Linked DNA regions of Lytechinus pictus. The protein of the gene in region 1 purifies or fractionates together with the protein of each later gene. This does not show direct contact. Links are inferred from orthologs where the notes say so. Each region holds a gene or a part of one and is shown on either strand. Other genes may lie near its edges.

Region 1 (7,203 bases):
TACTAAGAGTTAAATCGAGCAAAAAGAAGAACAAACAACCGTGGGTTACACAAGGTATAATTAAATCCATATTTACTCGGAATAGACTCTATAAAATATCCATTAAATCGCCTACAATTCAAAACATAAATAAATACAAAAAATTCCGCAACAAATTAATTTCAGTTATCCACCTAGCTCGCAAATCTTACTTTTCTGATAAAATTGAAAATAACAAAGATAATAAAAATTCATTATGGAAATCTGTAAATGAGATATTAGGTAAGAAAAAAGAAAGCTATGATAACATTAATTTCGTAGAAAATGGACAACACTTGCGAAACCCAAGTGATGTTGCTAATGCCTTTAATAACTTCTTCAATAATATCGGTCCAAATTTAGCTTCAAAAATAGTATCTAATGATAATGACTTTTCTTAATACTTAAACGACTTTCCGGAAAATTCTTTATTTTTTAATCCGACTAATACTCATGAGATCTTAGAAATTGTTAGGTCTTTGAAACCGACTAAATCTTCAGGGCATGATGGAATAAGTGTCTATTTATTAAAACAAATAATTCACTTTATAGCTTCACCGCTCATGCATATTTTTAACCTTTCTCTGTATCATGGCATTGTTCCCGATCTACTTAAGATTGCAAAAATAATACCAATATATAAGAAAGATGACCCATGTCTTACTTCCAACTACCGACTAATATCTTTATTACCGAGTATATCTCTAAAAAAATTTAAAAGTAGTTTACAAGCGATTGTATTCCTTTTTGAACAATAATAATATATTAATTCCAAATCAATATGGTTTTAGAGAGAATCATTCAACCGATTATGCTATTTTACAATTATTCGACAAAATATCTGATTCTCTCTCTAAAAAAGAACACACTGTTGGGATTTTTATGGATCTATCGAAAGCATTCGATACAATGGATCACCGCATTTTACTTTGTAAATTAAAGAGATATGGAATCAGGGGGGTGGTTTTCACTTGGTTCAAAGATTACTTAAGTAATCGACGCCATTATGTTTCTTTCAAATAAAAAACATCCTATATTTGTACCATGAAATGTGGAGTACCACAAGGATCGATGTTAGGTCCCTTGCTATTTTTGATTTATATGAATGATATTGTAAATGCATCTCGAGAATTAACATACGTTTTATTTGCAGACGATACAAATGTCTTCTATTCCCACAAAGACTTAAATATACTCGTCCCGACACTTAATTTAGAATTAAAGAAATTATCAAAATGGTTTAAAGCTAATAAACTCTCCCTAAATATAAGCAAAACAAATTTTATGTATTTTAAACACATTCAAACTAAACATATGTTCCTTAATATATACATAGATGACATACCTATCATTGAAAAACAAGAAACCAAATTTTTAGGTGTATGGATTGACTCAAATTTAACCTGGAACAGTCACATTCACAATATTTGCATGATGGCATCCAGAGGAATAGGAATTTTGTTTAGATTAAAATATTATCTCTCCAAAAAATCATTATGCTTTATAATTCGTTCGTTTTATCCCACTTATCTTACTGCAACTTAGTATGGGGGTATAGTAGTAAGGTAAAAATAGAAACGATTTTCCGTCTCCAAAAGAAAGCACTCCGCATATGTACTCATTCACATTTCATTGCACATACTGATCCAATATTTCACAACTTAAAGACATTGAAAATTGAAGATATTAACATTTATCAAACGGCCATATTTATGTTTAAATATTCATCCAATATTATCCCGATTCCATTTCGCAATTTTTTTGTTTACAACAAAGACATTCACAAATATCCAACACGACATTCAACAGATCTTCACTTAACCAACCCAAGAATATTACTCGCTCATAAGACGATACGCCACCATGGCCCAGATATTTGGAATGCATTGCCACATGATATTAAACAATGTACATCTCTCTATTCGTTTAAAGCTTCGTTGAAAAAAATTCTTATTTCTAAGTATACCTAATTTGATTCACCTGCACTCACCCACATGCACACACTTGCACTTCTTTTAACCATTTTTTTCTACTAATATATATATTTTTTAAAATCTTATATTTCGTGACGATCAATTTATCAAATATGATTTATGATGGTTTTCATGTAGCCCCCTCTCCTGGCTGCTATTGCTTCAAGCACCTCTGTGCTTATAATAGCTGGCCCCTGTATTTTACCGAACTATATCACATGCTTAGGTATGATTTAACTATCAGTCTTTTCTGTATTATTTACAATGTATCTCTTTAATTGTCACATTTAAATTGTATTCATTCAATTATGTGAACATGTTAATTTATCATTGATTTATGAATAAAATGCAGAAACTCCTGCAAAAAAACAACAACAACAACGAGGTCAAACGATGAATCAACATACCCATAACACACTGCACCCGCCCCGAAGAGTGCCCCCAATGCAAGTGCCGCCACTTTGGGGTTGTCCTTAAGAAATTGAAAAACTGTATCAATTTGTTTCTCCATTCTCCCGAAAATAGATTATCCTGTTGAAAGAAAATAAAACAACTTCGCCTTTGAATTATTAGGGAGTCAAAACCGGTAACAAGAGTTTTAATTATTGTTTGTCTTCTTGCCATCCAGCTGCTATCTGCGCGGCTATCTTGGAAACGACTGAACTACGTCATCAATGAGAGAAAGAGACATGCGCAAAAAGAAAGCGCACAGCGGCTGGTTATATATAGCTCTATGAGAAATACCAAGCGCAGATTCCCGAATACCTTTCTTCTGAAATTTCCAGCGTTAAGTTTGCTTTTTCTCTTTTCATTCAATTCAACTTTTTTGAAGGATGGCCTAAGGATTTCACGAAGCCCGTAATTGGAAAGTTTAGTACTTTATGCCAAAGCAAAAGATCAATAGAGAACTTACGTGCGTATATTATTTCAACTTACAAAACACCTCCAAAGAATACATATAAAAATGAAACCATTTCAGCTAGGATCAAAAGCATTCATCATGGTTGGACTGAAATACACACACATGGTGCACTTCATCTCACTAACTATTATCTGCCATCATATCAAAAACATTAAATCACACTAAGAAACGGATGCTTAAAACGTTTACACATGCACACTTCCTATAAAAAACTTTTACCATTGAAAATCGTTGCATCTCTTATATTATATTGTTTTTTGTGAAGAAAAGAATATTCAACATACAAGTAAAAAAAATTTACTTGAATTCCAAATCCAATTTTTAGGGGTACAACACTAACAAAAAATTTGACTTTTTATATATTAATTTATCCTGTTTTAAATTCAAAGATCAGTCCTTCAAGTACCCCCCCCCCAAAAAAAAAATGCAGGAAAGCCCTGTCTAATCATGGTGATCAAAATGCAACCTTGTACAGAATAGCATAATGATAAAACATTATAATAAGTCAATAGAATATTAATGATTGCAAGAAAACATTAAAATGAATAGTAACACAAGGCATTTTTTTTGCTCAGTACAAAATACATGGATTCCAACCCAAAGCAGGGGCGGCGATCCTGGGGCGGGGGCACAGTGCCCCCCCCCCCCCCAACTTTTTGAAGCACTGAAAAGTGCCTTTTTATGCAAGAAAAATGCCCCCTCACAAACGTGTACTGTGCCCCTTTCATCGAAGGAGGACCAGATTAGGTGATACCAATTTCCCCTTTCTCGTATAAGTGCCAATTTTTTTTCTCTCCAAAAAATGATGCCCCCTCATGGACACCTGAGAAGGACCAGTTTTATCGTTTTTTCGTGCCCGATGAGCGCCCGGTCTCTTAACATTTAGCGCCGTTTTGCTTCCTTCATGAAAATCTTGCAAAAGTAATCCTTCGTGCCTTAAATACACTGGGGTTAAATTTCATTTAACAAAGTTAAACTCCCCCCCCCCCCCGGCCCCCCTAGCGAAAAAAATTCTGCATACGGCCATGTTTAAGATAGTGCCCTTTTCGAAAGAAAAGGTGCCCTTTTTCCCTGTGCCCCCCCCCCCTCCCACTTTTAACTTCGCTCCGCCGCCCCAGACTCAAAGTATTCCACCCCCTCTGGTTTACTCCAAACAGTGATGATGAAGAAAATGATAAAAATTCCAAATAAAAAAATATCAATTTCTCTCTGGATCGTGAGCGCGATCGCGAGAGGGCGCTAATGCATTCAACAAAATGGCTCTTGCTGGAAAGCTGCGGCTTGCTCGGAAGGTAAAATAGAGATCTACAGATCATTTTTTTCTCTTTTATCGGTTCTAAAAAAGCCTTTTAATCGTTATTGATATATTCTATTATATATTATATTTCAGATAATCCCAAGTCCCTTTGCTAGAAGATGTCTGGGTACTTCTTCCCCGGCTTCTGCTCAGGTGAGTTGATTTCTCCTCTGGTTTCTCCACTCCAGTCGCGTCACTGAAAATTGCATCGCGATCGACAAAGCTGCTCCAAAAAAGAGTCCAAGCTCTCTCCCGGCTACTCACGCTGTCGCTGCTAATAGTACCTTGGTCACATTTGTTCTACGACGGCCGTACGGCGAGTCGAAAACAGCCGTTTTAACATTTTGTGTACCAACTACATATAGGTGGTTTGAATTAAAATTAATTAAACGGCTGTTTTCGACTCGACGTACGGCCGCCGTAGATCAAATGTGACCAAGGTATAACTCCATCCAGGAAACTTCGCTATGGCTATGCTGCGAACTGGCAAAATCCTGAACTTAAGGGGTGAGGGTGTCTGTGTACCTGGCGTCCCCCTACTCAAAAAAGTAGGGGGGACACAATATCAAATGTCCCCCCTACTTTTTTGGTCTTTTTTGATGAAAAGAATTAGGCCTACATCATTCAAAATCGAAATAAAACATGGATGTATTTGGACGAGATGACCTTACTTTTAGTTTTGGGGTCATAACCTTTTTTTTTTTGCTCGTCAAATTTTCCAGCCCTTGTCCCCCCTACCGTTTGGGAGAGATTTCGGCATAATCGTGATATAGTCCCCAAATCCCAAAATGGGGACTATTAGAATCACACCTACCAAACTCTCGCACAGCTCGAGAACTTGCGAAATGATGAAAACACACACAAATGAAACACACACCTGGGTTCTCTCCCTATTATATACTCATGATACAGTCCCCACTCTACGGTAAATCAAGTTTGATTTTCACGGCGGTGGGGACAGTTTCAACAGTATAGTATACTCGTGATACAATCCCCACGCTATGGGATACACATTTCGTTTGGCACGCAGTGGGGATAGCTCCAACAGTATATTATACTCGTGATACCGTCCCCTCACAACATAAAATCGTGCTCGTTCGACAAGGGGATGGGGACAGTTTCCAAGTGCAACGTGACAAGGAAGACTCATTCAAAACCTTCGGGAATTATTATTATTATTGTCTCATCATATTATATCATTTTATCATAATAATTATTATTTTATCATAATTATTATTATTGTTATTTAATCATAATTATTATTATTGTTATTATCATTATTATTTAATCATAATATCAATATTATTATTGCTATTTATCATTATTATTATTGTCAATATTATCATTATCATTATTAATGTCATTATTATTACTATCATCATATATTATTATTGCTATTTATCATTATTATTATTGTCAATATTATCATTATCATTATTAATATCATTATTATTATTACTATCATCATATATCAGTATTATTTAATCATAATTATCATTATTATTATTGTTATTATTCTGTTTCTGTTTGTTTCTGTTTGTGGTAACTCCCGTAGGAACTCGGCAGGACAGCATTTTGCTGGTATATAACCAATTACCTTGGAAACATTTTACGTCTAGATTAATCAGTCAGAGTGGCTGACGTAATAGACGACAGATATCACTCTTGGGCCTTTTTATCAAAGTGGAGACAATGGCAGAGTTGGGATTCGAACTCACAACCTTGCGATTATGAGTCCAATGCTCTAACCACTGGACCACATATTATTTAATCATAATTATCAATATTATTATTGCTATTTATCATTATTATTATTGTCAATATTATCATTATCATTATTAATATCATTATTATTATTACTATCATCATATATCATTATTATTCTTTATTATTGTTGTTGTTATTATTATTATTACAATAATGATGATAATATAATAAATTATTATATCATCATTATTATTATTATTCATTATCATTGAAAATGTGCCCCTTCCATCTCTTCCGTTCCTTGTATTTCATTTAATTCCTTCAAATGAAATCACTGTAGACTCATATCGTTTGGGTATAAATTATCATAATTATTATCATCATTGGCATCATTTTCATTATTGTTGGTATTATTATTGAAAGAGTCACCCCCAAAACATTAAAGTAATCAATACAAATATGTGACGGAAATAAAAAGTAAAGTAATGATAACAACAATGATGGGGATGATGATAATAAAGATTAAAAACAATAATGATGTTGATAATAATTATGATAAAGGTTAATAATAGAAAATAACAATAATAATAATTATTATAAAAATGATAAATAAAATATAAATGATTTTAACAAAAAATAAGGATAACAATAATAAGTAAAAAATAAATAAATACCATCAAAAATAATGACAATAATGATAATAATTACGATAATACCCAAAAGTTATGAATGAGTCTACAGTGATATCATTTGAAGGAATTAAATGAAATACAAGGAACGGACTGGATGGAAGGGGCACATTTCCTATGATAAAAAATAATGATAATAATAATTTCTTATACTATTATCACTATTATGATGATAATAATAACAACAACAAAGAATATTTATTATAATGATGATAGTAATAATGATATAATAAAAATAACAATAATAATAACAACAATGATAAAGAATAATGATTAATGATGATATGATAAAGAATAATAACCATAATAACAACAACAATAATAAAGAATAATAAAGAATAATAATGATATATGATGATAGTTATAAAAATAATGATAATAATAATAATTATATTAATGATAACAAAATATTGACAATAAGAATAATAATAATAAATAAAAACAACAATGATAAAGAATAATAATGATGTATGATGATGATAGTAATAATAACAATAATAATAATGATAATTATGATTAAATAACAATAGAATAATAATTATGATAAAAATGATAATTATGATAAAATAATAATGATAATTATGATAAAATGATAAT
Region 2 (7,218 bases), on another chromosome or scaffold:
AAGTTTCATAATAATGATTGTTATTTCATTTGTTTTGTAACTGCTATGTACACATGAAAAAATCTTATGCAATTATTTATATTTTGTAAATAGAACTTGACATGTTCCATATTGAATGTTATCAAATATCTTTTTATTATTTCTTGTTGTATTTTTCTGTGTTTGGATGATAATCAGAAAATTTATTTGTTTTAATTGATTTGATTTGCTTGCTTCTTATGGTGGTTGCCTGAATGGTATGGGACACCTGACAACATTCATGAAAATGTGATCGAGGTTCAAAGCTTCAGTACTCGGCCCACTGGGCACATTATAATTATATTCCAATGAGAGGTGATAACTGCATTAAATTTTACTGTATATGACAGAAATTTAAAATTATTTCCCCATGTCGCCTCGCACTGATACACAGAATGTTTTTATCCCAGGATAGCTTTGAAGCTGTTGAAACTAGGAATTATTTTTCAAGTTTCAAGGGTGTGGGGGGGGGGAGGGCATATCAACAAAGTGGAAAAGGACAACATACTACATGTATATAAGGATGTATTTATTTATTTCAGTTTTATTTATGCAGGGTAGCCCTTTCAGTTATAGAACTGATTTACAAAGAGGCCCTGCAACGATAAAAAGAACATATACATATTTTACAATGGACATATAAATAAGATACAATCATACAATGAAAATGTAGATGAATAAAGAATATAAAGAATATAAAAGGCCAATAAAATTCCAAACTCTTTCTTTTTTCTTGTACAACTTGGAATACAAATGCATATTATGATTTTTATCAGTGTATCATTATTATCATTATCATTGGCATGTATTTCTTTTCACTGAAAATTATTTTTATAATGTAATACATTATGATCAAATAGGAAACTCAAAACAAAAATCATTAAAAATCATGTCTGGGTATTATAGAACAAATGTATGCTGCTCCCAACACTTTCCATAGTTGCTAACAGTAATAACAAGTTTATCATATTAGAGCCTTGGAAGAGGTCACGAAAGTGTTTGCGGTATGATGATTAGTAAACAAACGAGTAGCTCGCTGGCATCAAGTGGTCTAGCGCCATCACATGTTGAAATACCATACAGCGTATCCTTATTTTGTTGGTAAATTGCCATTTCGCCTACAGCCAACTCGTACATTCAACACATGGTCTACCTTCTGGCTTCATTTAGTCTAATGCCATTCTGTCCATCAAAATTTCGTCTAACAACCATTTGGTCCAATAACCAGTTGGTCCAATCATCACTTCGTCTAATCACCATTTCATCTATGACCATTTCGTCTCATAACCAGTCGGGTCTAAAAAAAATTTATTTTCATTCCTTTCGCCCAATTAGACCAAATGGCATATGGATTTATGGCTATTGGACCAACTGGTTATAAGACGAAATGGTGAGTAGACGAAATTGTAATTAGATAATCTGGATAGTGGACGAACTGATGTTAGACCACATGATAGTAGACGAGTTAATTGGACGAATTGGCATTAGACGAATTGAAAAATACCGGGGGACTATGGGGGCTATATAATGGGAAGGGAGTAAGTGAACCAAGTACCTGGAAAACCTTATCGGGGGACATAAATCATTTGACAACTGAAAAAAAAATCAAACGTCTACGCAATTTGCAGGTCCACTCTCCAATCAAAAACTTTCCTCCAATCAAAAAAAAAAAGTCATCCCGGCCGGAATCCAGAATGCTAATTGGAGCTAGGTGCCTAATTGTTTTCTTCTTCTTCTTCTTCTTTTTTAGAGTATTACCGGTCATGCATGCACCCCCACCACCACCACCATAAAAAAAAGTGAAGAAAAATGCTTGACCGATGGGGCCGGATGGGGGTGGAACACCAACATTACAAATTTTCGACGATCCTTCACGGTCTTTGTCAGGAGTAATTGACAACGATTGATCTGATCATTTTCATTTACTCCTGACAAAGACGAAGGGTCGTTGACAAATTGAGGCTTTTGATAAAAATAACTTGATTTGCTTTGTTATCACTGAAGCCAATACGTGAAACTAAAAGTTACTAACTTTGTTTGGAAGCACTGCTGATAAGGAAGGTGACCAATGAAAGCAATTGATTTATTGAAAATATTTTCATATTTCTAAATTGGTTTACCATTATCATTAAACAAAGCAACATAAACATGATAATTATAGTTCTTGTAAAAATCTCATATATAGACTCATAGTATAGGTCCACATGAATGGTATTTTGCAAAGTCACGCTTAAACAAGTGACAAGTTTAATGAAAACGAACCCCACGGGTGGTGTCAGGGCAAGTGTCAGGGTGATTTGGAGGGAAATGGAGTGGTAAGATCTGGGGAGCGTTTCATGAAAGGACTTGTCGGACGTTTTATCCGACAAGTCCTGTTTTATCCGACAGTTACTATAGTAACAGTGCTTCTCAACCAATCAGAATCCAGGAAAGTTGTCAGATCTGACAACTTGTCGGACGAAAATATTGATGAAACGCCCCCCTGGGGACCGTTTCATTAACATTTTTGTCTGACAAGTTGTCAGATCTGACATCTTTCCTTGATTCTGATTGGCTGAGAGGTACTGTTGCTATGGTAACTGTCGGATAAAACGTCCGACAAGTCCCATTTTATCCGACAGTTACCATAGCAACAGTACCTCTCAGCCAATCAACATCAGAGAAAGATGTCAGATCTAACGACTTGTCGGATGAAAATGTTGACGAAACACTCCCCAGGCTTCTCACTTTAATCACAGGGGTATAGAAAAAGAAATTACAGTTACAAGACCAATACCTCTTTATTTTATACTAATTTTTTCTTCTTCCTTCCTCTTTCTTTCTCTCCTTTTCTCTAATTGAAAATGATAGGGGGAGGGGTTCATGCACCCTGCACTCCTACCCGTAAAGCGCATCCCCTATTTAATGTTCCATGAGGAATTGAATTAAATGTTCAATCATTGGAGAAAAATATATCTACATTTGATATTGCATGTATAATTCAAGTTATAGTCATAGAATTTAAAGGGGTGGGGGGGGGGGGGAATATATTAAAAATAGAGATAGATGAAGAGAAAGATGCCCATGCAGGACGGGGAAACCATACCGCAACAACAAAAACAACAACAAAAATAATAAAAATAAATAAATAAAATAAAATAAATAAAATGAAAAAATATTAATGAAAAAAAATGATAAATCAGTAATTGATTTGCAAATTTATTGGAGCATGGTTATTTGGCAGGATACCTGCCACAGTGACAACTGTCCTATTGTATAGTTCAAAAGTAAATTTCTGTTAGGGTCTTGAATTAACACTTTTCATACGACCAGTTTTTTATCATGTGAATGACACGGGTATATAGATAGATAGCCCCTATAAGCTGACATAACATGGTTCTTTTTAATTCGTTCTTCCCAGAGTTAACAGAAGCGGATCTAGAGGGGGGGTTGGGGGGGTTGCAACCCCCCCCCAAAAAAAATCCGGGGACCATTTTTTTAAATCTTATCTTTTTTTTTAAACTTGTAAAGCAAGAAAACGCCATTTTCACACACAGATTTTCAAAAATTTTCCCTACTGTGGGAGGGGGGACACTCCCCTCCCACACCCTCCCCCCTCGCTCGCTCCGCTCGCTTGGACTCGGTCGCTACGCTCCCTCGTATACCACCCCAACCCCCCCCTTTATAAAAAGCTGGATCCGCCCCTGGTTAATAGCTCGTTCATTCGACTTATAAAATTATTTGTTCCTATATACTATAGCTGCACCTTGGTCCCTTGACTTCCCAGCTCGACTTGTAACTATAAGTCAAGGGAATTTGCGAAAAAGTTTAGGGAACAAAATAAGTAAACTTATTTCGTGGGAACAAGTTCCATTTTTCCGCCCCTAGTTTTATAACAGCTGTCCCCATATTTAGCAACACCCCCCCCCCCGTAACCTAATTTCAAACCGGAAAAAAAAATTGAATTAAAATTCTTGGTCTCGGGGTTCATTTTATTGTTGTTGTTGATAGGGTGTTGTTATTTGGTGATATATTCCCTATTACTCACCAGTACCCCCCCCCCGTGCCCCGACTACTCCCGTACGAAACGGTACGATCGCTCGATCGATCGAGCTCGCGTCCTCGCGATCCATCCAGGCTAGAATTAAAGATGGCGAGTGTTGGAGCCTCCGCATTGCGGAGCGGTTTATCGAGACGAATAGGCGCAATATTGTCTTCAAATCTTCGTCCAAGGGTTGCCACAAGTTATTGTGATAAGAGGAATGTTTCTTTGACACCAGAATGTTTTGGTGAGTTGAATTTATCAAAGCTTGTCTTGCAAAATCGGATCGCGATGTGTCGATGTGAAATGAACTTACGCGAAATAATACGTGTGGGACCGTAGTAAATATTGGTAGGGGCTTTTGATAAAAAATGTATCTCCCTCGTAAAAAAGACCCTTTACTCTGCATTCGGAGCCTGTAAGTTGGATAGGACTAGTAGTAATGGGATGATGTCTGTGTTTTGTAGCATAGCATAAAAAATGCAGATTTAGGAACAACTGCAGAATACCCGGACACTGCGTTACCTTATCGTTGGAGAGCCAACGCACAACGATGTATGATGGGGGGACCTAAAGCTACGCACATTGTTTTCAAACAATAAAAACTATCCCAATTTTAATATTTCAACAAATATCTTTCACTAATTTGTGGCAAACATTCTAAAGATCATTAACCAAGAAGAAAATATCGCAAAACTCCCTAATACGAAAATCCCGCCGTGTTATCCGAACACCTCTTGATTTCGCCACCCGATGTAGAAGGGGTCCTAAAGCTACGTACTCGATTTATCATGTAAAAAAATAGTATTTCCTGTGCCTCAATTTCTAGAATACATTCATAATATTATAGGATAAAATGAAATTTAAGTGAATATAACTCCAAAATTCCAAAAAGTTTTTGGTTTTCTCTGCATTTAGAGATTTACTGCAGCCTCTGTAGAAAAAAATGATTAGGAATCATTCGTCACACTGCAGTCACAGTTCCACACACAGAGTGCGCATTTGCCATTAAAAACTGCATGCGCGATAAGTGGTGCGTAGCTTTAGGACCCGCGTAGCTTTAGGACCCCCTACCATACTGTCCGTAGTACAGGCCAACACTGCCCGCGATGCCAACGATCTATATATATATCTGTGTGCATCTGTAGTATGTAGGCCGACATTGCCCGCGATGCCAACGATGTGTATATTTTCGTAGTACGTGTAGGCCAACACAGTCCGCGATGGTAGCGGTGTGTTGGTGTCTGTAGTCGGTACAGGCCAACACTGCCCTCGATGCCAACGATCTATATCTGTGTTCTGTAGTATGTAGACCAACAGTGTCCGCGATGCCAACGATGTGTATATTTCCGTAGTATGTGTAGACCAACATTGCCCGCGATGCCAACGATGTGTTGGTGTCTGTAGTACAGGCCAACATTGCCCTCGATGCCAACGATGCGATCATATCTGTAGTTGCCTATGTAAACCAACATTGCCCGCCATGGCAACGATGTGTTGGTGTCTGTAGTACATGCCAACAGTGCCCGCGATGCCAACGATGCGATCATATCTGTAGTTTCCTATGTAGACCAACATTGCCCGCGATGCCAACGATGTGTTGGTGTCTGTACTGTACAGGCCAACATTGCCCTCGATGCCAACGATGTGAATGTATCTTTAGTAGGTATAGGCCAACAGCGCCCGCGATGCCAACGATGTGTTGGTGCCTGTAGTAGATGCCAACAGTGCCAACGATGCCAACAATGTAAATGTATCTTTAGTACGTATAGGCCAACAGCGCCGGCCAGGATGCCAACGATGTGTTGGTGTCTGTAGTATAGGCCAACCTTGCCCGCGATGCCAACGATGTGAATGTATCTTTTGTATGTATAGGCCAACAGCGCCCGCGATGCCAACGTTGTGTTGGTGCCTGTAGTAGATGCCAACAGTGCCAACAATGCCAACAATGTAAATGTATCTTTAGTACGTATAGGCCAACAGCGCCGGCCAGGATGCCAATTACGATGTGTTGGTGTCTGTAGTACAGGCCAACCTTGCCATCGATGCCAACGATGTGAATGTATCTTTTGTATGTATAGGCCAACAGCGCCCGCGATGCCAACGTTGTGTTGGTGCCTGTAGTAGATGCCAACAGTGCCAACAATGCCAACGATGTGTTGGTGCCTGTAGTAGATGCCAACAGTGCCAACGATGTGAATGTATCTTACATAGGCCAACATTGCCGGCGATGCCAACGATGTGAATATGCCTGTAGTAGAGGCCAACATTGCCGGCGATGCCAACGATGCGATCATATCTGTAGTTGCCTATGTAAACCAACATTGCCCGCCATGGCAACGATGTGTTGGTGTCTGTAGTACATGCCAACAGTGCCCGCGATGCCAACGATGCGATCATATCTGTAGTTTCCTATGTAGACCAACATTGCCCGCGATGCCAACGATGTGTTGGTGTCTGTACTGTAAAGGCCAACATTGCCCTCGATGCCAACGATGTGAATGTATCTTTAGTAGGTATAGGCCAACAGCGCCCGCGATGCCAACGATGTGTTGGTGCCTGTAGTAGATGCCAACAGTGCCAACGATGCCAACAATGTAAATGTATCTTTAGTACGTATAGGCCAACAGCGCCGGCCAGGATGCCAACGATGTGTTGGTGTCTGTAGTACAGGCCGACCTTGCCATCGATGCCAACGATGTGAATGTATCTTTAGTAAGTATAGGCCAACTTTGCCGGCGATGCCAACGATGTGAACGTATGTTTAGTATGTATATACCAACAGCGCCCGCGATGCCAACGATGTGTTGGTGCCTGTAGTAGATGCCAACAGTGCCAACGATGTGAATGTATCTTACATAGGCCAACATTGCCGGCGATGCCAACGATGTGAATATGCCTGTAGTAGAGGCCAACATTGCCGGCGATGCCAACGATGTGAATATGCCTGTAGTAGAGGCCAACATTGCCGGCGATGCCAACGATGTGAATGTATCTTTAGTAAGTATAGGCCAACTTTGCCGGCGATGCCAACGATGTGAATGTATGTTTAGTATGTATATACCAACAGCGCCCGCGATGCCAACGATGTGTTGGTGCCTGTAGTAGATGCCAACAGTGCCAACGATGTGAATGTATCTTACATAGGCCAACATTGCCGGCGATGCCAACGATGTGAA

Evidence for each region. The genes of interacting proteins can lie anywhere in the genome.
Region 2: the proteins of pyruvate dehydrogenase E1 component subunit beta, mitochondrial-like (region 1) and pyruvate dehydrogenase protein X component-like purify together in Homo sapiens (affinity purification with mass spectrometry; 4 studies listed by BioGRID and IntAct, counting the BioPlex papers as one, with this or other methods). This does not show direct contact. The link is inferred for Lytechinus pictus from reciprocal best matches to the Homo sapiens genes PDHB and PDHX.

Annotation. Positions count from the first base shown.
Region 1 is NC_087247.1:29,769,462-29,776,664, reverse strand, and holds the start of pyruvate dehydrogenase E1 component subunit beta, mitochondrial-like, read left to right. Parts: upstream 1-4,124; 5' UTR 4,125-4,169; coding exon 4,170-4,205; intron 4,206-4,303; coding exon 4,304-4,363; intron 4,364-7,203. UniProt on the Homo sapiens protein: The pyruvate dehydrogenase complex catalyzes the overall conversion of pyruvate to acetyl-CoA and CO(2), and thereby links the glycolytic pathway to the tricarboxylic cycle.
Region 2 is NC_087253.1:21,265,161-21,272,378, forward strand, and holds the start of pyruvate dehydrogenase protein X component-like, read left to right. Parts: upstream 1-4,128; 5' UTR 4,129-4,286; intron 4,287-7,218.